Macaca fascicularis: one gene and its partners. The protein of the gene in region 1 binds, or shares a complex with, the protein of each later gene. Links are inferred from orthologs where the notes say so. Each region holds a gene or a part of one and is shown on either strand. Other genes may lie near its edges.

What was found. The genes of interacting proteins can lie anywhere in the genome.
Region 2: TADA2A (region 1) and MBIP share a complex: the UniProt entries of both Homo sapiens proteins name them as parts of the ADA2A-containing complex. The link is inferred for Macaca fascicularis from reciprocal best matches to the Homo sapiens genes TADA2A and MBIP.
Region 3: TADA2A (region 1) and KAT14 share a complex: the UniProt entries of both Homo sapiens proteins name them as parts of the ADA2A-containing complex. The link is inferred for Macaca fascicularis from reciprocal best matches to the Homo sapiens genes TADA2A and KAT14.
Region 4: TADA2A (region 1) and YEATS2 share a complex: the UniProt entries of both Homo sapiens proteins name them as parts of the ADA2A-containing complex. The link is inferred for Macaca fascicularis from reciprocal best matches to the Homo sapiens genes TADA2A and YEATS2.
Region 5: TADA2A (region 1) and DR1 share a complex: the UniProt entries of both Homo sapiens proteins name them as parts of the ADA2A-containing complex. The link is inferred for Macaca fascicularis from reciprocal best matches to the Homo sapiens genes TADA2A and DR1.

The regions. Positions count from the first base shown.
Region 1 is NC_088390.1:43,518,911-43,524,036, forward strand, and holds part of TADA2A (transcriptional adapter 2-alpha), read right to left. Parts: intron 4,614-5,126; exon of another isoform or gene 4,553-4,613; coding exon 4,481-4,552; exon of another isoform or gene 3,937-4,480; intron 1,928-3,936; coding exon 1,795-1,927; intron 1,320-1,794; exon of another isoform or gene 1,232-1,319; coding exon 1,188-1,231; exon of another isoform or gene 1,029-1,187; intron 1-1,028. UniProt on the Homo sapiens protein: Component of the ATAC complex, a complex with histone acetyltransferase activity on histones H3 and H4. Required for the function of some acidic activation domains, which activate transcription from a distant site. Binds double-stranded DNA.
Region 2 is NC_088381.1:104,133,286-104,137,880, forward strand, and holds the end of MBIP (MAP3K12-binding inhibitory protein 1), read right to left. Parts: intron 3,304-4,595; coding exon 3,265-3,303; intron 3,171-3,264; exon of another isoform or gene 3,000-3,170; intron 1,687-2,999; coding exon 1,579-1,686; 3' UTR 1,063-1,578; downstream 1-1,062. UniProt on the Homo sapiens protein: Inhibits the MAP3K12 activity to induce the activation of the JNK/SAPK pathway. Component of the ATAC complex, a complex with histone acetyltransferase activity on histones H3 and H4.
Region 3 is NC_088384.1:69,102,875-69,108,000, forward strand, and holds part of KAT14 (cysteine-rich protein 2-binding protein), read right to left. Parts: intron 2,386-5,126; coding exon 2,249-2,385; intron 976-2,248; coding exon 800-975; intron 564-799; exon of another isoform or gene 517-563; intron 1-516. UniProt on the Homo sapiens protein: Component of the ATAC complex, a complex with histone acetyltransferase activity on histones H3 and H4. May function as a scaffold for the ATAC complex to promote ATAC complex stability. Has also weak histone acetyltransferase activity toward histone H4.
Region 4 is NC_088376.1:95,715,016-95,720,141, reverse strand, and holds part of YEATS2 (YEATS domain-containing protein 2), read right to left. Parts: intron 4,405-5,126; coding exon 4,276-4,404; intron 3,502-4,275; coding exon 3,403-3,501; intron 2,246-3,402; coding exon 2,143-2,245; intron 1,266-2,142; coding exon 1,192-1,265; intron 1-1,191. UniProt on the Homo sapiens protein: Chromatin reader component of the ATAC complex, a complex with histone acetyltransferase activity on histones H3 and H4. YEATS2 specifically recognizes and binds histone H3 crotonylated at 'Lys-27' (H3K27cr).
Region 5 is NC_088375.1:141,039,773-141,044,898, forward strand, and holds the end of DR1 (protein Dr1), read right to left. Parts: intron 2,622-5,126; coding exon 2,475-2,621; 3' UTR 511-2,474; downstream 1-510. UniProt on the Homo sapiens protein: The association of the DR1/DRAP1 heterodimer with TBP results in a functional repression of both activated and basal transcription of class II genes.

The sequences.
Region 1 (5,126 bases):
CAGTGGCTCATGCCTGTAATCCCAGCTCTTTGGGAGGCTGAGGCAGGCGGATCACCTGAGGTCAGGAGTTTGAGACCAGCCTGGCCAACCTGTCGAAACCCCATCTCTACTAAAAGTACAAAAATCATCTGGGCATAGTGGCAGGTGCTTGTAATCCCAGCTACTCAGGAGGCTGAGGCAGGAGAATCGCTTGAACCTGGAAGGCGGAGGTTGCACTGAGCCAAGATCATATCACTGCACTCCAGCCTGGGTGACAGAGCAAGACTCCATCTCTCCAAAAAAAAAAAAAAAAGTCCCTAAAGTGGACAAATCTGAGACCCAGATCCTGAATCTGCTGAGACATACCTCCCCAAATTGCCAGTCATCGATTACCTATCACCAAGGATCATCAGATAGCATATGGCCTAATCTTGCTCGGTATACTAATCTCAAACTAGGACATACTCAAAGAGGTAAAAGTAAGAAATAAAAATACTTTAGGTCTCCAACTTAGAAATCCTTATGTTTCTAGCAAGTAACATGCTTCTTTGCTCATGTTATATAAAAATAAAAAGCTTAGGCTGGGCACAGTAGCTCACACCTGTAATTCCAGCACTTTGGGAAGCCGTGGTGGGTGGATCACTTGAGGTCAGTTCCAGACCAGCCTGGCCAACATGGCGAAAGTGTCTTTACCAAAAATACAAAAATTAGCCAGGCATGGTGCCACACGCCTGTAATCCCAGCTACTCGGGAGGCTGAGGCAGGAGAATCACTTGAACCCAGGAGGCAGAGGTTGCAGTGAGCTGAGATCACACCACTGCACTCCAGCCTGGGGGACAGACCAAGACTCCATCTCCAAAAATAAGTAAATAAATAAAAAATAATAAAATAGAAAGCTTTTAATTTATCTCCTGTGAAATAAGTCTCAAAATTCGTGGTAGACACAACTGCAGTAAACTAATTGCTCATGAACATTGGTAAAATAAGTTACCTCTCTGAAGTTCTTTTTTCCCGTCTCTATGCTCTCTATACTCTCACTCTGAGGATAGTCTCTGTCTGGCCATGAAGATTCTGAAAACATACTGATGTTTACTATTATTCTGCCTAAGCACCCTGACACCACAGAGGAAGGAAGATTGCTGGGTCACCATAACCCCTACGATGCAAACTTCACAATTAAGACTTGTTCTGGCCTGAGAAATAATTACCTGAATTCGAAGCCATTGGAATGGAAGGACTCAGGCCGGAATCACTACAACAAAGAAGAGGAATTTAAACTTAGGTCATATCAAACAAGGTGATTTCCAAAAGCCCCTGTGAGACTGGGTGCCGTTTATCAGGTAGGTCACCTTGAAGAAGTGTAACGAGACAGACTGAACTATGTTTTATAGATATCTCACTGTATTGAGCAGGAAAGCAAATCTGTTCTAAGGAAGAAAAATTCCTCAGATTTGTTAAGAAAAGCTTGTAGTCTAGAACACCACTAACACCACTCAAGGGGAAGGGATACAAACATGATTCTCCAGTGAAAATCCAGGTATGAAGAGAGAGTTGAAGTCATGGGTAGAAGGCTAGGGGAAAATTCACTCATTTTTAAAAATAAGATCAAAGTAGTAAAGTTTGATTCTAGGAGGTCAGTTGTTTCTCAAAACTATCAGTATGGCACTGGTTCTGTGAGATGGACTGCTAAAATATTTCTGAATTCTTCTAGCTACTCAATTATTATTACTCTGCCATCTAGGGTGCCCAAAAATACATGCTAAGGCCAAGGCATCCCAGAAAGAATGCCTCCTTCACCCTGGAGTAATTACTCACATGTCAGCTTGCCGGCGGAGCCACTGCTGGCAAGCGCTACTGTCTTGGATATACTGGAGAACTTCTGAGAGCATAGTGCGTTTAAGGCGCTCCTCCTCCCGTGTCTTCTTGAGGTGATCGTAGGTTCTGGCACCTGAGGGTATAGAAAACACAGTGACCACAATGACAATGCAGCAGAACTGAAGGGCTTTCTAACTGACCAAGAAACTGGTTTTGGGTTTTGTTGTTAAAGTCTATTTCCTTTGCAAAACTGCTTTCACAATTATTTCTCCAAGACCCAAGTAGATTTTCCCTAGTTTGAAATCCTTTTCTTAACACTAAGTATTAAATATTTGTATTCCTTTTCTATCTGTAAGAAATTTGGGAGAAAAAAAACAATAGAAAAGTACAAAGAAAATAAGAATTGCTCATACTTCCACCCTCAAAAAGTAACCAACTTTTACTGTAGTCGTAGTTGCTTCCTGTTTTTTCTATTTTTATAAATTTTTTCAAAGTCACACATGTGCTATAAGCATATGCCTTTCCTTTAAAAACAATTAGAATTACAAAAAAAGAGTTCTCTTTGACATGTAGTACCTCTTCTCTATATTTCTCAGAGGCAGCCAATATCAGGAAACCAAAATTAATTATCAGAGTCTCTATATGCATCTTGCTAACAGAAGAGTTGTGTGGTGTTTTCTACATGTTAAAAAAGGTTCACAGATTCCAAAATACTGCACCAGTGGGTTTCAAAATTCAAACTAGGTTCCACAGAGCCCCAGGATACCATAGGAGTATCTTAGAGGTTAATGTAAAGAGAAAGGGCACTGCCAGATACCAGCGGTCCTGGGCTCTACACATAACTTGAACCATTAAAGTTCAACCAAAGTAATTCCACTTTTATCTTATTTGTAGATTGGGGCTCCACACAAAATTTAATTTTAAAAATGGTTTCCACTGTTAAAGAACCATTATATTAGGCTGAACTTACATCCATAAGGTTATGTTGCACCCAAAGGGCTGTGTTAAGAAGTCAACTATTGCCGGGCGCGGTGGCTCAAACCTGTAATCCCAGCACTTTGGGAGGCTGAGGCGGGCGGATCACCTGAGGTCAGGAGTTCGAGATCAGCCTGACCAACATGGAGAAACCCTGTCTCTACTAAAAATATAAAAAAAAAAAAAATTAGCTGGGTATAGTGGCGTGTGACTGTAGTCCCAGCTACTCAGGAGGCTGAGGCAAGAGAATTGCTTGAACCTAGGAGGCGGAGGTCATGGTGAACCAAGATGGCACCACTGAACTCCAGCCTGCGCAACAGAGCCAGACTCCATCTCAAAAAAAAAAAAAAAAGAAGCCAACTATTTCTTATAGGTAGTAGGTGATAGCTGTCAATAATCACAAAGACTTCAAATAGGAAGAAGGAGGGAGTGCTAAAGATCATTCCAACAATGACAGCAAAACAATAGAAACTGCCATTTATTAAGGATTTATTGTGTGCCAGATACCGTGCTATGCTTATATGCAGTATCTCTAATTAAATCTTTACACTAAGAACCTTAGAAAATTAAAACTTGAATAGAGGCCAGGCACAGTTGCTCACACCTGTAATCCCAGCACTCTGAGAGGCCAAGGCGGGAGGACTGCTTGAGGCCAGGAGTTTGAGATCAGCCTGGGCAACATAGCAAGGCCAGTCTCTAGGGGGAAAAAAAAAAGAAAAAAAGGAAAGAAAAGAAATGTAGATAGAATCACATCGCAGAGCTGGTAAACTGGAGAGCCAAAATTTATACTCAAGCTTTTTAAGTCTAGACCCAAGCTCTTAACTACTATAATACACTATCTCTTACGATCTGGTTCTAGTACTAACTAGCTCTGTAACCTCTTTATACCTTAATTTCTTCATTAAATGGAAGTAATGGTACTTTGTAAGTTTGTCATGAGAATTCAGTGACTTGATCCAAGTGAAATGGTTAGCATAGAGACTGGTACATGGTAAACATCTGATAGATGTTAGCTGCTAATAATATAATTATTGTCACTACACCAAGTAACTGGGATACAAGCACCTAGAGCCAGTTGAAGCTTCATTATTTTATAAAAATGCTAAGGCCATGTATCATTAAATTTGAAAAGGGTGACAGTCCTTTTTTTTTTTTTTTTTGAAACAGAATCTCCCTCTGCCGCCCAGGCTGGAGTACAGTGGCACAATCTCAGCTCACTACAACCTCTGCTTCTCAGGTTCAAGTGATTCTTGTGCCTCAGCCTTCTGAGTAGTTGGGATTAAAGTGTGCACCACAATGCCTAATTTTTGTATTTTTAGTAGAGATGGGCTTTCACCATGTTGGTCAGGCTGGTTTCGAACTCCTGGACTCAAGTGACCCACCTGCCTTGGCCTCCCAAAGTGCTGGGATTACAGGCGTGAGAGAGTCACTGCACCTGGCCCAAGATTCTCTTTTTATAAAGAGCCTTGGCAGAATCCTAAATCTAAAGCAGCACCTCTCTTTCCTTTGTCTCATAACTTTTATTTTACCAAAGATAATCTATGTAAAGGTATTTATAGGGATTAAGTAGCCAAAACTTTACTGGAAAGATTTAAAGCATTCTGGTAAAGAATAGCTTATGTTTTAAAAAAAATTCACAACTCAGAGACTTCCTCTGTGTGTTTGGAAGACACTTGCCCTCAGGTACGGTATGTAGCTGAAGCATACTTACTACAAAAATTGGTAATGCCTGCTGTCCTGTATTCTTGGAGCCTCTTGATTTCCCTTCGGAGTTCAAATTCCACTGTTTTCCCCAAAAGGAATGAAGGAAAAAGTTACAAAAATAAAAGCAACATCAGTGAGCACTTTTGCTATTGAGCATTTTCATTAATTCTGCCTTATAAGACTAGGTAAGTTCATTTGGAGAATCCTACTTGTTGGTAACTTCTCATTAGAAATTTTACCCAAGAGCTGAGGAAAACCTACTCCAGCTGTCTTCCAGCTGCTGTCTCCAGAGGCAGCAGCTGGAACTGTCTTCTAGAAAACTTAGTGAAATGGTTGAATTCATTTGTCTACAAAAGGAACAATTTTTTTTTTTTTTTTTTTTTTTTTTTTGAGACAGAGTCTCGCTCTGTCCTCCAGGCTGGAGTGTAATGGCATGATCTCGGCTCACTGCAACCTCCACCTCCCAGGCTCAAGCGATTCTCCCTGCCTCAGCATCCTGAGTAGCTGGGATTACAGACATCCACCACCACACCCGGCTAATTGTTGTATTTTTAGTAGAGATGGGGTTTTGCCATATTGGCCAGGCTGGTCTCAAACTCCTGACCTCAGGTGATCCAACCACCTTGGCCTCCAAAAGTGCTGACATTACAGGA
Region 2 (4,595 bases), on another chromosome or scaffold:
AGCTGGGCTCCTCAGCAGGGTGAGGACTTGGAGAACTTTTCTGTCTAGCACTCTGTGTCTAGCTCAAGGATTGTAAATGCACCAGTCGGCACTCTGTCTAGCTCAGGGTTTGTAAATACACCAGTCAGTACTCTGTGTCTAGCTCAAGGTTTGTAACTACACCAATTGGTACTCTGTTTATAGCTAACTCTGTATCTAGCTGAACCTAGTGGGGACTTGGAGAACTTTTCTGTCTAGCACTCTGTCTAGCCCAAGGATTGTAAATACACCAATCAGCTCTCTGTAAAGTGGACCAATCAGCAGGATGTGGGTGGGGTCAGATAAGGGAATAAAAGCAGCCTGCCCGAGCCAGCAGTGGCAACCCGCTCTGGTCCCCTTCCATACTGTGGAAGCTTTATTCTTTCACTCTGCAATAAATCTTGCTGCTGCTTTCTCTTTGGGTCCATGCTGCCTTTATGAACTGTAACACCACGAAGGTCTGCAGCTTCACTCCTGAAGCTGAGACCACGAACCCACTGGGAAGAATGAACAACTCCAGATGCGCTGCCTTTAAGAGCTGTAACACTCACCACGAAGGTCTGCAGCTTCACTCCTGACAGTGAGACCATGAGCCCACCAGAAGGAAGAAGCTCCAGACACAGCTGAACGTCTGAAGGAACAAACTCCGGACACACCATCTTTAAGAACTGTAACACTCACCACAAGGGTCTGCGGCTTCATTCTGGAAGTCAGTGAGACCAAGAACCCACCAATTCTGGACACAATAATGTATGTACTGCCTAATAACTGGGGTATTGTAAAGGTGAGGCTCTCAAAAGAGAGGTACTATAATTTCTTTGTAACATCCTAATTGCTGTCCAAAACCAGACCTGGTTTTATAATATTAGCTAACATTTACTGAGCAATTCCCTTGAGACAGACAGTTTCAAACATACATGATCTCACCTCTTCTTCATAACAGTAAGGTAGTTTCTATTACTGTCATTCCCATTTCACAGACTGGGAAATGAGGACAAAGACAGATTAAGTAAGTTGTTCAAAGTCACACAGTCAATAAAGGGATAAAGCTGGATCTATTGTTTATTTACATGAATACTGACATCTTAGAAATTAAGAAAAACAAGTTCATACATCCATTTAAAATTCATTTCAGTCAATAAATTTTTGTTGAATGCCTATTATATGCAAAGTACTGATTTAAACTAATAAACTGGTTAACACCAATGTTACAAATATAAAGTCCTTTTAAAGTATCAATATCAAAATAAATTTTCCTTTCTGTGGTCCACAAAAGAAAAAAGATGTACCAGCACTTTTAAATTAAGTTTTTCAATTTCCAAAATACCTCCTTTAAAACAGAAGGGAATAAATTCCAACAATGCTATTTTCAACACATTCATTATTTAAAAACTTACTGGAATATCTGAAGATTACTTGCTGCAAGCTGGACTCGTGAAAATAAACCTTGACTTCACAGAGAAGTCTACATTGATAAATATATATCCGTTGAATTAATAACAGTGTAAGTTACACATATGTATACAAAAAAGTAAAATGACAAGGATGGAGAGGAGTTTTTCATGGAAGGTGGTGGGTTGCCATGGATTCTGCTTCTCTTGATTTTCTGAGGAGGGCTTGTTTGAGGGCACTAATTTTCTCATCAAGTTCAGCCAGTGAATAGTTCTGCTGTAAACAATAACGACACAAATTGCTGAATAAGATTCTGAAGTATCTTAATGCAGATAAAGTGCCAAATGAACTATAAATATTTAAAATATTTAAAAGCATGATCAAATGGGTTTTTTTCCCTCATGAGAATAATCTTAAACCTGCACAACTATATATGTTGACTATATCATAAATTTAAAAGCATAAAATAACAAGGCTTAAATATTTCTCTTTTCTAATGATTAAGCTCTCCTGAACCTTTTATACTTTGAAAGAATAAGTTTACAAAAAAAAAAAAAAAGCCTGATTATTAGACACTGGAGCCTATTTGAAGATGGGAGGAGGGAGAGGACTGAAATATTGCCTATCGGGTATTATGCTGATTACCTGGGTGACAAAATTATCTGTACACCAAACCTCCGTGACATGCAATTTACCCATGTAACAAACCTGAAAACCCCTTGAGCTTAAGTAAAAGTTGGAAAGAAGAAGAAAAATGCTAATTATACTACTACCAGGAGAAAAAAATCATTTGAGATATCAGCTATCCCTTTTAATAGAAAACTTTCTATGTTGATTACTAAAGTTAACCTGAAGTGGAAAACAGTGAAGAAAACACTCCTTTTGCTTTCCAATAAAAATTGGATTTGTTCAAGTCTATCTATGTGAACACCCTCACTTGCATTAATATTTCTAATTTAGACACAAGTATTATGTGGTGACTATTAGGGGGTAAAGAGAAAGGGAAATTGGGACTGAGTGCTAATAGGTACAGGGTTGGGGCGGTGATGGAAATGTTCTAGACTTAGTGGTGATGGTTGTACAACATAGTGAACATACTAATAGCCACTTTAAAATTATGAATTTTATGTTATGTGAATTGTATTTTTAAAGCAGCAACAAAGTGTTACAGTTTACTACATAAGAGTAACTTTTAAAAACCTGATTATTCTCATAATCAATAGTAAAAAAAGTTAACTTTAAAAATAACTGCTTAAAATACCTAGAAATTCTCTCTTGAGGGATCAACTACAATAATTTACTTCTGGAAAAAATAATTGCTATCAAAAAATTTACTCGGAATTTTTTAAGAAAAAAAATGCTACTCTTAAAAATTAGAAAGTCTTCTCCAACTTTAAATTCACATTACCACTATTAAAGTCTAGCAAAGCCTTATTATTTAAGGTTCAACTAATTAGTAAAGTAGCACTTTAGACAGGGCCAGCTGAAGTCAAACTCTGCCAAACACCCTTTTTGATGTAGATGCTACTAATCAGAAGTGTTCACAAAAGGAAGGGATGGGGGGAGACTGAAATTACTTGAGCACTTACTATTTTTAAGCACTTGATGAATGACACATCCTTGTACTACTAAAAGCAGGACAAAGGTTTTATTTATTTAACCTATCTGAGTCATTCCATGCCCTTAAAAGAATTTTTCTATTCAAGTATATTAGTTTATACTGCCCTTTTCTTCAGTCGTAAATTGTACCAGGGTATGACCTAAAAGCAACCATAGTAGAAACTTTTATTAATAAGAAAGGTATAAAACTAATCAAACTATTTCAGAAACCAAAATGAAAATGCAGTAACTTACTTGAGGTGGTTGAACTTTTCTTCTTTTTCCAGAAAAGCTCTAGATTTTAAAAAAAAGTAATCAACGTTTAAAAAAATCTAAGCATTATTTTTTTCTTTATGAAATACCGTACAAATTACGTACAGCCTTGGGAACTCTGACAGAAAGAAAGCCAACCAATTTACCAATACCAATTATTGTCTGTAACCAACATCCACCTTATATTCTGCAAGTTACCCTCTAAAGAGGATGACATTAACAATATATAATAATAATACTGCAGCAACATGCTTATCTTTGGCAATACATATTTTCCCATCAATTACCAGCTTCTAATGAGCCTGGGTGATTGTGGAAAGAGGTGCTCTGGGGATTTTCTGCTTAGTTTTTTTTTATAACCTTTCCATCCCAGGGTGTTGAACAAGCGAAGTGACAATAGACAAAGGAAAAATATAATCTGGTATATGAGGCCAAGAGGTGAAAACACACACACACACACCCTGGACTGACTATAATGGACACTGTGGTTGTTTATGCAAGGAGCTACCTATCCACTGCTTCTCTGTGTGGCCCAAGCCAATGGCTTCCTGGTCTTATCAGTGACTGAAATGGGCATGGGTCCAGTTCTGGCCAATGAGTAAAGGAGAAGACTGCTGGAGATTAAGAGGAGAACTTCTGGAAAAAGCTTCCTCACATCTTTTGAGAGAAAGCCCTCAAAGAAGGCAGTTTCTCAGGATACTGCTGTATCTGGGTAAGACACCTGAAAGTGCTGTAGCCATCTTGCCATCTGCCTGGGAAAGAAGGTAACACCAAGCAGAGTTAAGAGGGGAAAGAAACCTATTTTCTTACAATTATGATTTAGTCACTGAATCAATTAAATCTGAAGCTTGTGCTACCATGGACTTCCTATTTTATAGTTTACATAATGTTTAAGCCAATTTTGAGTTCAAATTTCTTACAGTTGAAGCTGACAACATTCTCATTGATCCACTAATGAGCCTTTTAAATCTTGGTCTAATGAATTCTTCCTAGACTTTTTCTTAGTTTCACACAAGCACTAGCTTTTAAATGGCAAATTAGTAAACTAGTATATTTAACAAACTGAATCTCAGAGACAAAATGTTCTCATGAGCATTTCTGACTATTGAAATTTTGAAGATAGCATTAAAACTCACATTTTCCTTTGTGTCAAAAGTTGATTCAAAGAACATCTAGGTATGCTTCTTATCAAGTTACAATAAGTTGGAAATCATTAAGTATTAGAATTAGTAATTATGAAATAATAGAGTTCAGATAATTATGCTCCTTCCTTTGCCAAACCAAGCTGCATACCTGTGGTAGGGCCTATGGGC
Region 3 (5,126 bases), on another chromosome or scaffold:
ATGTATGGAAGGCACCTAACATAAGGGCAGGAAGCAGAAGATGATCCCAGAATGTTACTTTTGGCTCAATATGACTCCCAAAAGAGTGAGTGCAGCTCTGCCACCACATGCACGGTTATGTGATTATGTGACAATAAAGACGACACAGCTCTAATCTTGATGAAATCGTATCTAACACCTGAAAGGTACGTATTATTTCCTTTAGGTTTCAAGGCAGCATGGGAAAGCAGATCCACAAAGAACAGTTTATATTTAGCAATGAAAATGTGTTCCTTTAATTAATGACTTTGGTCTTCAGAGGCAATTTTGTTAAGGCTGATAAAATGACAAATTATACTGGGCCTACCCTTATTCTCAAAGTCTGTGATCAGGGTATTTGGCTTTTAAAAAACACCTTCTGGCTGTACTAACACTCTCTAAGGAACAGCTAAATAAACATAAAGAATTATTAAGCCAAAAACAAAAGTGTCCAAACACGCCCAAGCTACCAGTCTGTGTATCTTTGATAGACATTACCTGGTATCTAAATATATGCAGAAGCAAAACAGGATGAATCTTTTACTCTGGAAGCAGAGACAAACAGGGAAGAGAAACAAACAAAAACACTGTTTATTGCTGGCTTCTTCTAGATTTTAGGAAAATAAGAGGTATTTGTATTTTAGTATTTCTATATTAGCAGAGACAAACTAAATGAAATCATAAATAAAAATCTTAAGGCTATCACATAAACTAATTTTAAAAATTGCTAGAATGGACTGTACAGAAAAATGACCCGCCTGGTTTGGGAGGGGGAACATACCAGGCCAAAAAAACTCCTGACACATGGAGTTGATCGTTGGGATGTGATTTGGCCGCACGTAACAGTAATCGAGAGGCGCGTCGGGCTCCGGCGTCCAGTGAGGGTCACTCCTGTGCAGGTGGGAACGAATCTGTGACAGGAGCTGCAGTTTGGGTGGCTTTGTTTCATAATCACGCCTCCGGTACCACAGAAGATAAACAAATTCAAGTCAAGAAAAATACCTGGTATTATTCCTAGCTTTTTGACTCATGTAAACTCTTTGATCTGCTTGAAACTTTAAAGTAACCTGCACTGTTTTACACGAAGCTGGCTTGATTACAGCTATACTTTTATGTATGAAACCTAAAATTCACTCTGAACATTCATCAGGCTAAAGCCCTCTGTACCCACCAGGGACTGTGCCAGGTGCCTTCATGAACAAAGTGAGGAAACAGAAACAGCATCAGATTCACCCCGAGGAGTCAGACATGAGGATGCATCTCCAGTGCCTTGGAGGCCAGAAGAGGGAACATTCAACTTTGTGGGGCATTTGGGGAACACCAGAGACAAAGTGAGCTTGGAGCAGGCTCATAAACAGCTTCTCACTGCGCCTGCCCAGGAATGTGGTGCTGGCATGGAGGGTGAGGGTGATCATGGAGCTTCAGGGCAGTTGGAGTGCAATGAGTGCAATAATGTGCTCTCATTTACAGTGCCAGACACTGCTGGGACCTCTCTAGCAAGCTCAGCTTCCATTTCATTGCCTGGACAATGAGATTCATTATTGGAAACTGTTTCATATACATCCAGTCTAGATGGAGGCTCAACTGAGACGTCTTTCACATTTTTTCACTTCAGACTACTAAAAATATACAACTTTAGTATTTAAAATAACATAATGAGGGCTGGGCCCAGTGGCTCACGCCTGTGATCCCAGCACTTTGGGAGGCCAAGACGGGCAGATCACTTGAGGTCAGGAGTTCAAGACCAGCTTGGCCAACATGGTGAAACCCTGTCTCTGCTAAAAATACAAAAATTACCTGGGCTTTGTGGTGCATGCCTATAATCCCAGCTACTCAGAAGGCTGAGGCAAGAGAATTCCCTGAACCCCGGAGGTGGAGGTTACAGTGAGCCAAGATTGCACCACTGCACCCCAGCCTGGGTGACAGGGCGAGAGTCTGTCTCAAAAAATAATAATAATAATAAAATAATGATTATGATAATCACAAAGCAATCTTTCAGTTAATTTATTCTTCCTTTTTAAGTTTCTTTCAAAGGACCATGTTCTCTGTAAAAAAGTAGAGTTGAGACAAGCAAAGGACAAAACTGGAGGTGAAGCACAGAACTCAGTCCTTGCCAATGCTGCTCACAGTTTGTGATCTTTATTCTCTCCAACAGGAGAATAGGGCACAGAAACCACAATCATTATCTCTTATGACACACCTGACATCACATCTCTAGTTCTCCATTTACCTGATATAAGGTTTCAAGATCCGAGAGGTATAAGGGCTGACAATACTCTGGTCCACAGCCATATCTTCTGATCCGACCAAGCGATACAAAAACTTGGTGGTCTGGTGTCGAAATCCCTTCCTGGATGGCAAGGAAGTCTATGAGAAAGAAACACTGGTTATACAGAAATAAAATTACTCAGGCCGGGCGTAGTGGCTCACGCCTGCAATCCCAGCACTTTGGGAGGCCAAGGCGGGCAGATCACAAGGTCAGAAGATCGAGACCATCCTGGCTAACACGGTAAAACCTCGTCTCTACTAAAAATACAAAAATTAGCTGGCCGTGGTGGCAGGTGTGCCTGCAGTCCCAGCTACTTGGGAGGCTGAGGCAAGAGAATGGCATGAACCCAGGAGGTGGAGCTTGCAGTGAGCCGAGATCTCGCCACTGCACTCCAGCATGGGCGACAGAGAGAGACTCCGTCTCAAAAAAAAAAAGAAAAAAAAAAGAAACAAAATTACTCTGAGGATTGGTTAATTTCCATATAATTAGTATCGTATTTTTATGTGTCAAAAAGTAGGTCTTTTTGTATTACTTATTTGGAAAGTTCAAACTTCAATACAAAGTTTGTAGACACCTTTGCATAAAACTAGACATAAAAAACTAACCCCAGCTGTTTAAAATCAAAATAGTAATTTTAAAATTACGAAATCATTAAAAAAAATTTTTAACTCATTACAGTGAGAGAGATACAGGATTGAACACTGGATTTCCAGCTTCTCTAGGCTTCACTTTGTCTATATTATGCCTTCAACCCATTCACTAAATATTAACCAGCACTACTATCAAGTAGGTAACACACACGGGTCATATTATATGATCACTCTGTTATCCAAAGAGCCACTGGGGCCAACTACTACTGTATATAGAATTTTTGAAATACATTTCTGATATGGTTTGGCTCTGTGTTCCCAGACAAATCTCATCTTGAATTGTACTCCCTTAATTTCTTTGTGTTGTGGGAGGGGCCTGGTGGGAGATAATTTGAATCATGGGGGCAGTTTCCACCATACTGTTCTCGTGATAGTGAATAAGCCTCACGAGATCTGAGGGTTTATCAGGGGTTTCTGCTTTTGCATCTTCCTCATTTGTTTCTTGCCACTGCACTCTAAGAAGTGTCTTTTGCCTCCTGCCATGATGCTGAGGCCTACCCAGCCATGTGGAACTGTAAGTCCAATTAAACTTCTTTTTCTTTCCAGTCTTGGGTATGTCTTTATCAGCAGCATGAAAACGGACTAATATAATAAATTGGTACCAGGAGTGGGGTGTTGCCAAAAAAATATCTGAAAATGTGGAAATGACTTTGGAACTGGGTATAAGGCAGAGGCTGAAACAGTTTGGAGGGCTCATAAGAAGACAGGAAAATGTGGGAAAGTTTGGAACTTCCTAGAGATTTGTTGAATGGCTTTGACAAAAATGCTGACAGTGATATGAACAATAAGGTCCAGGCTGAGGTGGTCTCAGATAGAGATAAGGAACTTGTTGGGAATTGGAACAAAGGTGACTCTTATTATGTTTTAGCAAAGAGACTGGCGGCATTTTGTCCCTGCCCTAGAGATCTGTGGAACTCTGAATTTGAGAGAGATGATTTAGGGTATCTGGTGGAAGAAATTTCTAAGCAGCAGAGCATTCAAGAGGTGACTTGAAGGACAAGCATGGTGGCTCATGCCTGTAATCCTAGCACTATGGGAGACTGAGGTGGGCGGATCACCTGGGGTCAGGAGTTCAAGACCAGCTTGGCCAACATAGTGAAACCCTGTCTCTACTAAAAATACAAAAATTAGCCGGGCATAGTGGCACACACCTGTAATCCCAGCTACTTGGGAGGCTGAGGCAGGAGAATCACTTGAACCTGGGAGGCAGAGGTTGCAGTGAGCCGAGATCGCACCACTGTACTCCAGCCTGGACAACAGAGCAAGACTCTGTCTCAAAAAAAAAAAAAAAGTGATTTGGGTGCTGTTAAAAGCATCCATTTTAAAAGGGAAACAAGACATGAAAGTTCAGAAAATGTGCAGCCTGACAATGCAATAGAAAAGAAAAACTCATTTTTTGAGGAGAAATTCAAGCTGGCTGCAGAAATTTCCATAAGTAACAAGGAGCCCAATGTTAATCCCCAAGACAATCTCCAGGGCATGCCATAGGTATTCATGGCAGCCCCTCCCATCATAGACCTGGAAGCCTAGAAGGCAGCCTGGGGACTTGCTGCCCTGCACCCCAGCCGCTCCAGTCATTGCTAAAAGGGGCCAAGAAACAGCTCAGCCCATGGTTTCAGAGGGTGCAAGCCTCAAACCTTGGCAGCTTCCACTTCATGTTGAGCCCGAGGGCGCACAGAAGTCAAGAATTGAGGTTTGGGAACCTCCACCTAGATTTCAGAAGATGGATGGATACACCTGGATGCCCAGGCAAAAGTTTGCTGCCGGGGCAGGGTCCTTATAGAAAATCTCTGCTAGGGCAGTGCAGAGCCCTCCACAGAGTCCCTACTGGGGCACTGCCAGTGGAGCTATGAGAAGAGGGCCACTGTCCTCCAGACCCAAGAATGGCAGATCCACCGACAGCTTGCACTGTGCAATTAGAAAAGTTGCAGACACTCAATGCCAGCCCATGAAAGCAGCCAGGGGGAGGGCTATACCCTGCAAAGTCACAGGGGTGGAGCTGCCTAAGACTTTGGGAACCTACCTCTTGCATCAGTGTGACCTGGATGTAAGATAAGGAGTTGAAGGAGATCATTTTAGATCATTTAGAATTTGCCCTGCTGTAATTCAAGCTTGCATGGGCCCTGTAACCCCTTTGTTTTGGCCTCCCATGTAGAACTGCTGTATTTACCCAATACCTGTACCCCTAT
Region 4 (5,126 bases), on another chromosome or scaffold:
GGAAGATAGTATCTGAACTACCTTCCGGCTCTTGTATTCTGTATTTTTAAGGAGAGAGAAAACTGTGTCTCTGTGTGTGTGTGTGTGTGTATGTGTGTGTGTATATATGTGTGTGTGTGTGTATATGTGTATATATATACACGTATGTATATACACGTATGTATACACGTATGTATATACACGTATGTATATACACATATACACATACACACACACACACACAAACACGTATATATGAGAGAGATTTTTTTGTTTGAATTTCTTCTGTCAGGCTGGGAAACTGTCATCAAAAGTTTATTATGAGATACATCAAAATGATCCCCCAAACTTTACCTTAGAAAGAGAGACTACCGCTTTGCTATTACAGTTGGAAAAAATAAGTAGGTGGTCTGTACCTGGCGTACGTGTTCAGAGCCCTACAAATCTGAGTGGCGTGGAGGCTGCCCCTGGCTTCCCTCTGAGTGTGCATAGTGGTCTTGCCCATGAGCATGCTCCTGTGTCCGCAGGCTGCTGGCCCCTCAGCAAGGGTTATTGATTCTATCAAAACAACTGGGGCTAAGCAGCAATTTACTCAATCTAGCTAACGATGGGAGTGACACAGCACACCACTTTGGGAGGTCTTAAAAACTGTGCATTTCTACAGTGTGCAATACTGAGTTTCAGAGGAAAGATGAACGGTCTTAGAGTCAAACAGAACCAGGTTTGTATCCTGTTTCACCACCCATGGCTCTGTGATCTCAAGCAAGTTATTCAACCCTGTTTATCCTCAGTTTCCTCATCTGTAAATGCAGATGACACCAGCTACCACACAGGAGGCTGGGATTATATGAGACAGTGAACGTACCCAGCCTGCACAGGACCTGGTACACTGCAGGCAAACACTAAATGCTTTCCTCACTCATAAACGCCAAATGCTAATACAGAGTTTTAACTGCATACAAAACAATTTATGATTTACATATGAAAAATGTAAAACATTCCTTCTAAAGAACAACACAGTAAAAAGAATAAAAAACTAACTGCATATGAATTCTAAAACCCTTGCAAATGAGCTGTATCTCTAGCTGAAACCTTATAAGGTAACTGCCATTATCAATATTAATTTACAAACCCAAGTGATTTCAGTTGACTCAATACCTTAAATTCACGGCTTTAAAAAATGCACCCCTATATTCAGTGTAATTGTCTTACTTTTTGCAGTGATTAATGGAATCTTCTTTACTACTGCTGTTAAGAGTTGCTGGATAGTCTCTAAATGGTCTATCCTGAGAAGGATAAAAAAAAAATAAGGCAATAAATTAAATACATGTAGCAGTTTCTATAGCCATATGTATGCCATATACTTAATGGATATATTCCATTCTGAGGGAATTATAATGTAAAAACATCATATTAACATGTCTTTCCTTCCATAGATTACCTTCTTTGTAAAGGAAAGGTGTTCTATGCTTAAAAAGAAAATGTCAAGACTAAATAAGATCCCAGGAATGGAAGATTATGCGCGTATTACAGACAGTTAATCTACACCTTAAAATTAAATAGCAATATAATCTTTTTGCAATGTGACTGCTACTAGGGGAGAAAAATTCTGTATGCCCATCTTAGGGTTATTACAGTTCACGCCTCCATCTACCATATTAAAGGGCTAAGTTTCTATTGTCCCCAGCGGTTTGAGATACTTAAAAGTAGCTGGTCAGAAGTGGCTTCCTGATTTAGAAATTACGAAACCTCAGAAAGCATTTTAGAAGAAGCAAAGAGTGTGTATAGCCCATGAAGAGGCAGCTAAGATTAGGCAGGCGTGTGGACACCCAGTCACAAAGCACGTATACACCTGAGTGATGGCTACAGGAGAAATTTTGCGCCCAGGGGCTCAGCAGAGAAAGCCCACGCTGGCAACCTCAACTGAAGGGAGGTCTAATCCCATCTGAGGCTTCTAAGGCTACAAATCAAGTGCCACCTCCAGTCACACCACTGTATAAAATGATGACCCTCAGCTGTGCATCACTTGTCCACTACACAGGCACAGACAGTTCCTCCCATCAAGGGCTTAGAGCTACACACACAACTCTGCACATACTCAGCTGTCACAGGTGTGACAAACACCCAAAGCGGAATTCCTTTAGGAAAGACTGGAAGAATTACTTAATGACATAGTTTCCCAGCTCAGAACTTTCTTCTGTTTTCACTGCTGTCTGACCCTCCTGAGAGAGGCAGCTCGGCCCAGGTGTTTCTGGTTCAGTCTTCACTACAAGGCAAGAGCAACAAAGAGGCAGCTGTTAGGGGTTAGCAGTGGAAGGACATGTGCAGGCACAAACAAAGCTCCTGCAGTGAAGCTCAGCAAGGAAACTGCCACTCCAGCTGTTGCGGGGACACAGCCAGGGGACTGAGATGGCTCCTATCATCCCAGGGTCATCAGACAAGGGAAGAACTGTTAGCCTGGGTCTCAGGGGGGACAACTCCAGCCTCATGACAGGGCGGGGGCAATAAAATGGCTCCTCAGATATTTCTTAAAGGGCCACCCATACTGCTGTGTAAGATCCCTCACCCCCTCCCCACACATGTGATTTAACAATGCTACATTGAAGTACAATGCTGGTTTGTTCTAAGTTCTAATATTGTGACCTTTCCAATATCATCTCTCCAGCTAGTTTATCAACTTGCAGCATTATCTTAGCGTTCTGAGACACAAGGCAGAAAGCAAAAATCAGATCGCCTGTGCTTGGACACTGATGTTATCAATGTCAGCGTGTTGCTCTAATCCACCGTGCTATCCTGATCTACTCTTGTGGGCGGAAATGTCTCCCACTGCCAGCTCGCCAAAGTCTGGCCCCTACCTAAACCTCCTTTACCACAACTATACTCCCCAAATGAGTCCCTCTAACTTGCCACTTCTCCAAAGGGGAAGCTGAGTCTTTGTCTCTCTTGTGCCCTTAATCTGGCATACCCCTTGACTCCCCACAGCTAAAAAACCTCTACTCTTTTAAAGTCCAGGTTATAATCCATGGTCAATACAAAGTCTTGCCCTTCTCCACACCCCCTGCCAACCCTGATCAGACATCCCAAACTGCAATATTTCAGCAATCATTTCCCTGGCCACATGTCTTGTGTTTATCAATGATTGCTTGCTGTCTACAGCAATTCTTTTCAACCTTATTATAAATTTATTAAAGGGTAGAAATGATCCTTTATACATCTCTGTGTTTCCCTCAATGTTAAGTCTACCATATGAGTATTTAGGACACATTTGCCAAGTGGTTGATTTGCAAATGCTGAAAATTCAAAAGATTCAGATTATGGTAATGTCCTGCATAAAACTTCTGGACATCAGAAGAGAACGTGAACGACAACAAAAAAGATAAACAACAAAACTTCTGGACAAGAACTCTGTGAGATCCTATGTACCTTTTGCAACAGCTGCTGGAGCAGAGCTGGGGACAAGTGGAGTTGGGGCAGCTACAGGCAGAATGGCAGGTGGCTTGCTGGTAGAAAATGACTGAACCACTAAAGGGAGAAAAGGAGGGAGGGATATAACAAATACAGAGATTATTTTTAATGAAGGTGATCTAACTCCCAGGTGATAACCCCACATGAGACGAACAGCACACAGACAACTTGAGGACAACAGGAATTGCAAAGTCCCTTTTTACTAGTGGGTGATTATTAGGTATGAGGGTAACTGAGGTATATCTTCAACTGTAGAAACAGGAGCCTGTCACTAAACTAAGAAAGTAACAAGCCAGGCCAGGCACAGTGGCTCACGCCTGTAATCCCAGTACTTTGGGGGGCCAAGGCAGGTGGATCTTCTGAGGTCAGGAGTTCAAGACCAGACTGGGCAACATGGTGAAACCCCGTCTTTACTAAAAAAATACAAAAATTAGCCAGCTACTCAGGAGACTGAGGCATGAGAACTGCTTGAACCCAGGAGGCGGAGGTTGCAGTGAGCCGAGATCTTGCCACTGCACTCCACCCTTGGCGACAGAGCAAAACTCTGTTTCAAAAAAAAAAAGGAAAGGAAAACAACAATCCAATTAATGTAAATTCTTATAAACACTTAAAATATTCCCCCTTCAACTCAACTTTAGATAAGGGCAGCTATTTAGAAGCCAACGAACATTTGGGTTTTGAGTCCTGGCGTTGGAGCCCTAGCATTCAAGGTGCAGGGAGTACCGTGATAGCTGAAGGGTGGCTGTACATGGGCAGAGCAGTCACCACCTGGTAAATGCTGAGATACGTGGAAGCGGCCACAGCACAGAGGCCCGTGGGCAAGGCACTCACCTTTATTCACAGGCATCAGGATCGTCTGCACCCCTCCAGACGTGTTTACGCTGAGTGGTTTGAGCTGGCTGGGAATCGTCAGGACTGCCTGCTGGGGACTGGCTTGGCTGGAGTGAATCTTTAACAGTCCTAGAACAAATTGGAAGACAAGGCCACGCTGAAGGTCAGGTGCTTCGGGAAAGTCCCTTATCCTCTGTGCCACCCATATTTTGTCATGGAGGAAGTTACCTTCCAGTAAACAAAAGAGCGAGAAGCAGGAGGCAACGGATGCTGTGGATTTCACAATAAAACATCGGCATGACAATAATTGTTTATTTATTTACTTTTTGAGATGGAGTCTCGCTGTGTCGCCCAGGCTGACACGATCTTGGCTTACTGCAACCTCTGCCTCCCAGGTTCAAGTGATTTTCCTGCCTTGGCCTCCCAAAGTGCTAGGATTACAGATATGAGCCACCGTGCCCAGCCCCTATTTATTTTTATTTTTAGAGACAGGCTGTCTCCCAGGTTGAAAAGTGCAATGGTACGATCATAGCTCATTGTAACCTTGAACTCCTGGGCTCAAGCGATCCTCCTGTCTCAGCTTCCAGAGTAGCTGGGACTACAGGCATGCCATGACACACAGCTAATTTTTAATTTGTTTCTGTAGAGATGGGGTCTTGCTTTGTTGCCCAGGCTGGTCTTGAAACTCCTGGCCTCGGGCGATTCTCCCACCACGGCTTCCCAAAGCACTGGGATTTTTTTTTTTTTTTGAGTCGGATCTCGCTCTGTCGCCCAGGCTGGAGTGCAACGGTGCCATCTTGGCTCACTGCAACCTCCATCTCCAAGGTTCAAGCGATTCTCCTGCCTAGGCC
Region 5 (5,126 bases), on another chromosome or scaffold:
TTGCTTAATTTGTGAAAATCTTTATTTGTGTACTGTTCTGTGTGTGTGTGGTATATGCAGTTTTAAAAACCAATGCCTTTTAAACACTTATTAATCTGATAATCTGCCGAAAAAGATATATAACATATATTCAAGGGGATGGAAAAATACTTACTGAACAATAACTTTATTTCTCGAGAACGCTAAATATTTAGTTTCTCTCTTCAAGAGATTTAAAAAATTTTAACTGGCAAAACATAACAGTGACTCTCAAATGCTAAAAAAAAAAAAAAAAAAAAAAAAAATCTAAAAATAAAATATTGCATAAGTACCTTTGTTATGCCTCGATCTTACGACTATAAATTACAAAAACACAAGTAAAACCACATTTTTTGAAATAACAGTAAACAAAAACAAAAGGCAGGTACTACATACCAAATGACCAAAATGTCTTCTGGGCCTAAGATTCTTGAAACTAGTAAAAATTGTAATAATAGAAATCTCTCTATAGATCATTAAATATAAAAACCATTTATAAAACACATCACAATTTTATTGCTTGAAGAATACAGCATATGAAATCACAAGAATGTCAAAATGAAAAGTCACTAGGCTTCAAACGTATAATACATTATCAGATGCAGTAAAATATTAATTAACCTGAACTCTGCATCAAAAAAAAAAAAGGTGTGGAAAATATCTAAGTTGTTTACTTAAGAAACAGATATACTTAAAATAGAAAGTATAAGGATGTTACAGTACAAATTAGAAAAGCCAACACATATTAACTTATTATTGTTCTAGACTAGACTACCTTTGGTACTTAAACTTTTTAAAAAACAATTTCTTCTATCTCATCCAAATGCACTTCATGGGTATGACATCCATGAAGTAACTTCAACTTAAAACATTCAGCAAAATTAACCTTTTCACTTCATGGGGGAAGTATATTTAATAAATGTATAACAATATTTCCCTTTTACTAAAACTGCAAAATATGATCATTAAGAAACCTAATAGTTATAAAACTTTACTCACCTAGCTCTCCAATTAAAATTGAAATCCTGGGAGCCACAATCTATTTTTGGGCTTGGTGAATACATAAGTTTAAAAGATTTGGCAACTGACATAGGAATTTAATTACTTAATACTATCTTAAGTGACTTTTCCTTTCTGTTTCCAAAATATAGACACTATCCCATTTCTTCAACATCCTGGATTCCTATAATCACTACCATACTTTATTTTTTAGAACCAAATTAAAGCTTCTCTCTTTTAATAAGCAGGTAGAAACTATTTATGTTCCATATAGGGCTGATCAGTTATAACACAACTTACGTTTCATATAGGGCTGATCAGTTAATTCATATAGGGCTGATCAGTTGTAACACAACTTCTTAAGCAAAACTAATCTTTTTTTTAAAGCTATCACTCAATTATGATGGAGACAATAATGTCATCTCAAAAGGTAATGTTGGACTCTAGGCCATCTAGTCGGGAAAATGTAAAAGTAATTCTAAAAACAATAAGTAAACTATAACTACAAGTTAAATTAAAAATCCCTCTCTCATAGCAAGCATGCTCATTAACTTTCATTTCTTTCCCCCAGCAAAGGTTTGAATATTCATGAACCTCAGTTAAACCAAGGGAATCAATGCAATTGTTTCAAAAGTCCCACCTATATATTTGAATAATATGAGTATGGATGGACTAGGTAAGTAATACTATCAACAATTACTGAATTAGAGCGAAAGAGTATAAATCATGACAGACTTCCAAACTGGGCAGTCTTTGAAATGTCATAGTGGAGCTCAAAATGAATTATGTTGTAATAAAACTATAGTTTTTACCTCTACACAAAACAAAAACAAAATAAAAAAACATAACCACCAAATTTATACAACTACTATTAAACATACTCCTTCCTAGTTTTTTAATGTCTTGAAGTTTTTCTAAACAAGTATATTGATCTGAGCATATATATTTATTGCCTATATATGTTCTCATTTTAAAAGACAAATTCAGATACTACAGAACTGAACTCTTTCACCAACCCAATCCAATGTCTACTGATTCACACAGCACCCCCCCTTAATAATTTAAAATTCACAAGTTTTAGTTTAGTTAAAAGGGCAGAGGAAATGCAAATGCAGATTTAGAGCTTTGTAGAAATTTCACTGTATTTTTATAAACTTGAAGTTTTCTGTAACACTGTTTATTGATCAAATGAAGGACTTGCTGCTATCTAAAATTTCATAAACACCATTAAAAATTCAAAATTGATATTATACTGAACCTTAAATTTTCAATAGTTCAAAGAGACAGTTTTTACATGTATAGCACACAATAGATGAAACTTAATAGCAGACATCCCTAGAATACCAATGACAAGTCCACCAAGATGCATACAAAATTACAGATAAGCATTTCTTTCACCGTTTTTGTTGTGCAGGGAAAAACATTTATAGAAGAAATAGAAACTCAGCTGGTGAATTTCAGATATCATCATCATCTTCTTCATCCTGAGAAGATCCCGCCTGATTAGATGCACTGGCTGAGGCAGCAGCAAGCTGGGCTTGTTGGGCAGCTTGCTGCATTTGAAGCCATTCCTGTTGGGCCAATTCTGCTTGTTGCTGTCTAGCCTAAACAACCAAAACATTAAAAAAATGATAACAATTTTTTAAAAACCCATAATATATACACTTTCGTTAAATGTAGATTAGGCCAATTTCAGACAGTTATCATCATACATCTGGATATTGTCCAACTACTATGTAATTGTCACACACCTGGAGAACATAAACTCTATAGGTAAATATAATTAGAGATTGCTTTTTTCTAATTACACAGGTCTAAGAAATTTCTCAAACTTAGGTCTCTTATAAATGGCCCTCTTTTATTTCACGTAATTTATGACCTTTGGTTCAACTGAAGAAGTTGAAAAAGTTGACAAAACCCACAATATTCCCTCTAGCTCTTTCCCTGTACTTTTCCTTTCATTTCACTTGACTCTTCCGTACCCTCAAATTAAATTTTGATATAAACATTTTTCAATCTAAAATTTATATGGTTTAAAAGTTCTCTAGTATAGTACCTCTACCTCATATGAAGGAAGTACTATACATGTATGCAGTAGCTACCCCAATATTTCTTTCTGAGTTTCTATTACAATTCCCTAACCTACGATATGCCTATCTCTGTGTCCCTCATTCCCTCTCTGTAAGCACACACATTTGCATATACACACGTACACATACAAATATACATATCCTTTCCGTATACACACTAGTAAAAAGATACTACTTAAAATCCATTCATCTGATATATCCTCTATTAAAAACAACCACAGGATTTTAGAAACCAAGATGCATACATATGAATTACATAAGAAACAGCTAAGGCTCCTTCACAATTTAATTTTATCTGTTTGTAGAAAAACCACACCAAGAAGGGAAAAAACGAACCTGTTCTTAAAAAGGTCTTATAATTTCCCATTAGACTCTGCCAAAACAATCCTTTTCTCCTTTTCTGTCTGTTCGGGGAATTGTTCTTTAAGTCCAGCTCATACCCTCCCCTTTATGCATAGGTAATTCCTAGTCATCATTTGAAATGCAAATCAGTTAGTTTTTCTTGACCTTTCCAGGCCATATTTTATGCTCTATTTCATATACCATAATTCCCTATGCATTCCCATATCCATCCACTTTGTTCTAGAATTATCTAAGTTTATATCTTTTTTTTCCACCACACTTGAGAACAGAGATTGTTACCATATTCTTTGTTGCATTCCTAACACAAAGGCCTTCAGTATTTTCTGAATGAACATGCTACAGGAAAACAGTGATGGCCAGCATAACCAGTAACATTTAAGATTTTACCATATACAATCCTCACTCTTCTGAATAATCTGTCATGACTTTATTATCCAAACGTTTCTAGATATAAATTCTAATCAGGTCATTATTTCATTTAAAAAAAAAAAATTGTTATCAATCAAATCCAAATTTCCTAGCCTAGAGTTCAAGGTCCTCCAAATTAGTGTCTACCCCAACTTCTCTATAGTCTTTTCTTGTAACATGCACTTTGTGCTTCAAAAAAGCCTAGAATACAAAATGTTTCCCAAATTTACACCATACTTCCTCATCTTTGCTATTTTTACTCATGCTGACATTCATCCTATGTGAAATTTCCTGCCACTTACTGAAATTTTACCCTTCCTTCAAGTCAAACTGAAATACTATTTTCTCCTCCTGGTATCAGTCAGTGTATAATCAAGAGAAAGAAGTCACACGAGTTACTGGAATGGAAAAAATTTAATATAAAGAACTGTTAAACAAGTATAAAGTTGTTTTTAGGCAGCTGAAAAGGCAGGAAGAGAACATTAAGATGTCATGAAAGTAGCTACAGGAAGCAGCCACCAACCCTAAAACTGGGGGAATAGAGGAAAATGCTGGAATTTTTAAAATTTAGACGCTTAACGAAACCACTTCATGGAACTGAAACTCAGACCTCGGAAGAATGGGCATAGATAAGCTAGTACTAATATATCCGTGCTTGGACGAGGGCCCCAGGGGTTGCGATCCACACCGCCAGAGTGGGGGGATGGAGCGCGGGTTCAGGCGGGTTGTGTATTAGAGAAAATGCAAACAGGATTCAGTCTCTGCTACAGGAAAACTGATGCAACCAGGATGAAGAAGTGTTGCTGGTTTGTTCAAAGGAACTGAAAGACAAGAGAAAGTAAAAGGAGAAAACCCTTTGTCTTCCTCCATCCATGCAATCTCCCACGAGAACCCCATACTGGCAACAGAGTCTAATGGAGAGTCAGCTAGCAAAGAAACATGTGGCTTACAGAGTACTAGGTCCAGTCACAAAGCAGAGCACACAAAGGTGGTTCTGGAGCTAAGCTAACTGCTTACTAGTTGGCATACTCCTGCACCCCCAAAAATTGATGTAATGTTTCCATACTTGAGATTTCTTTCTTTCTCTTTCCTTCTCTCTTTCTATTTTTGTAGAGATAGGATCTCACTATATTGCTCAGGCTGGTCTCGAACTCCTGGGCTCAAGTGATTCTCCCACCTGGGCCTCCCAAAGTGCTAGGATTACAGGTGTGAGCCACTATGCCCAGCCAGAATATCTTTCTCGTAAGT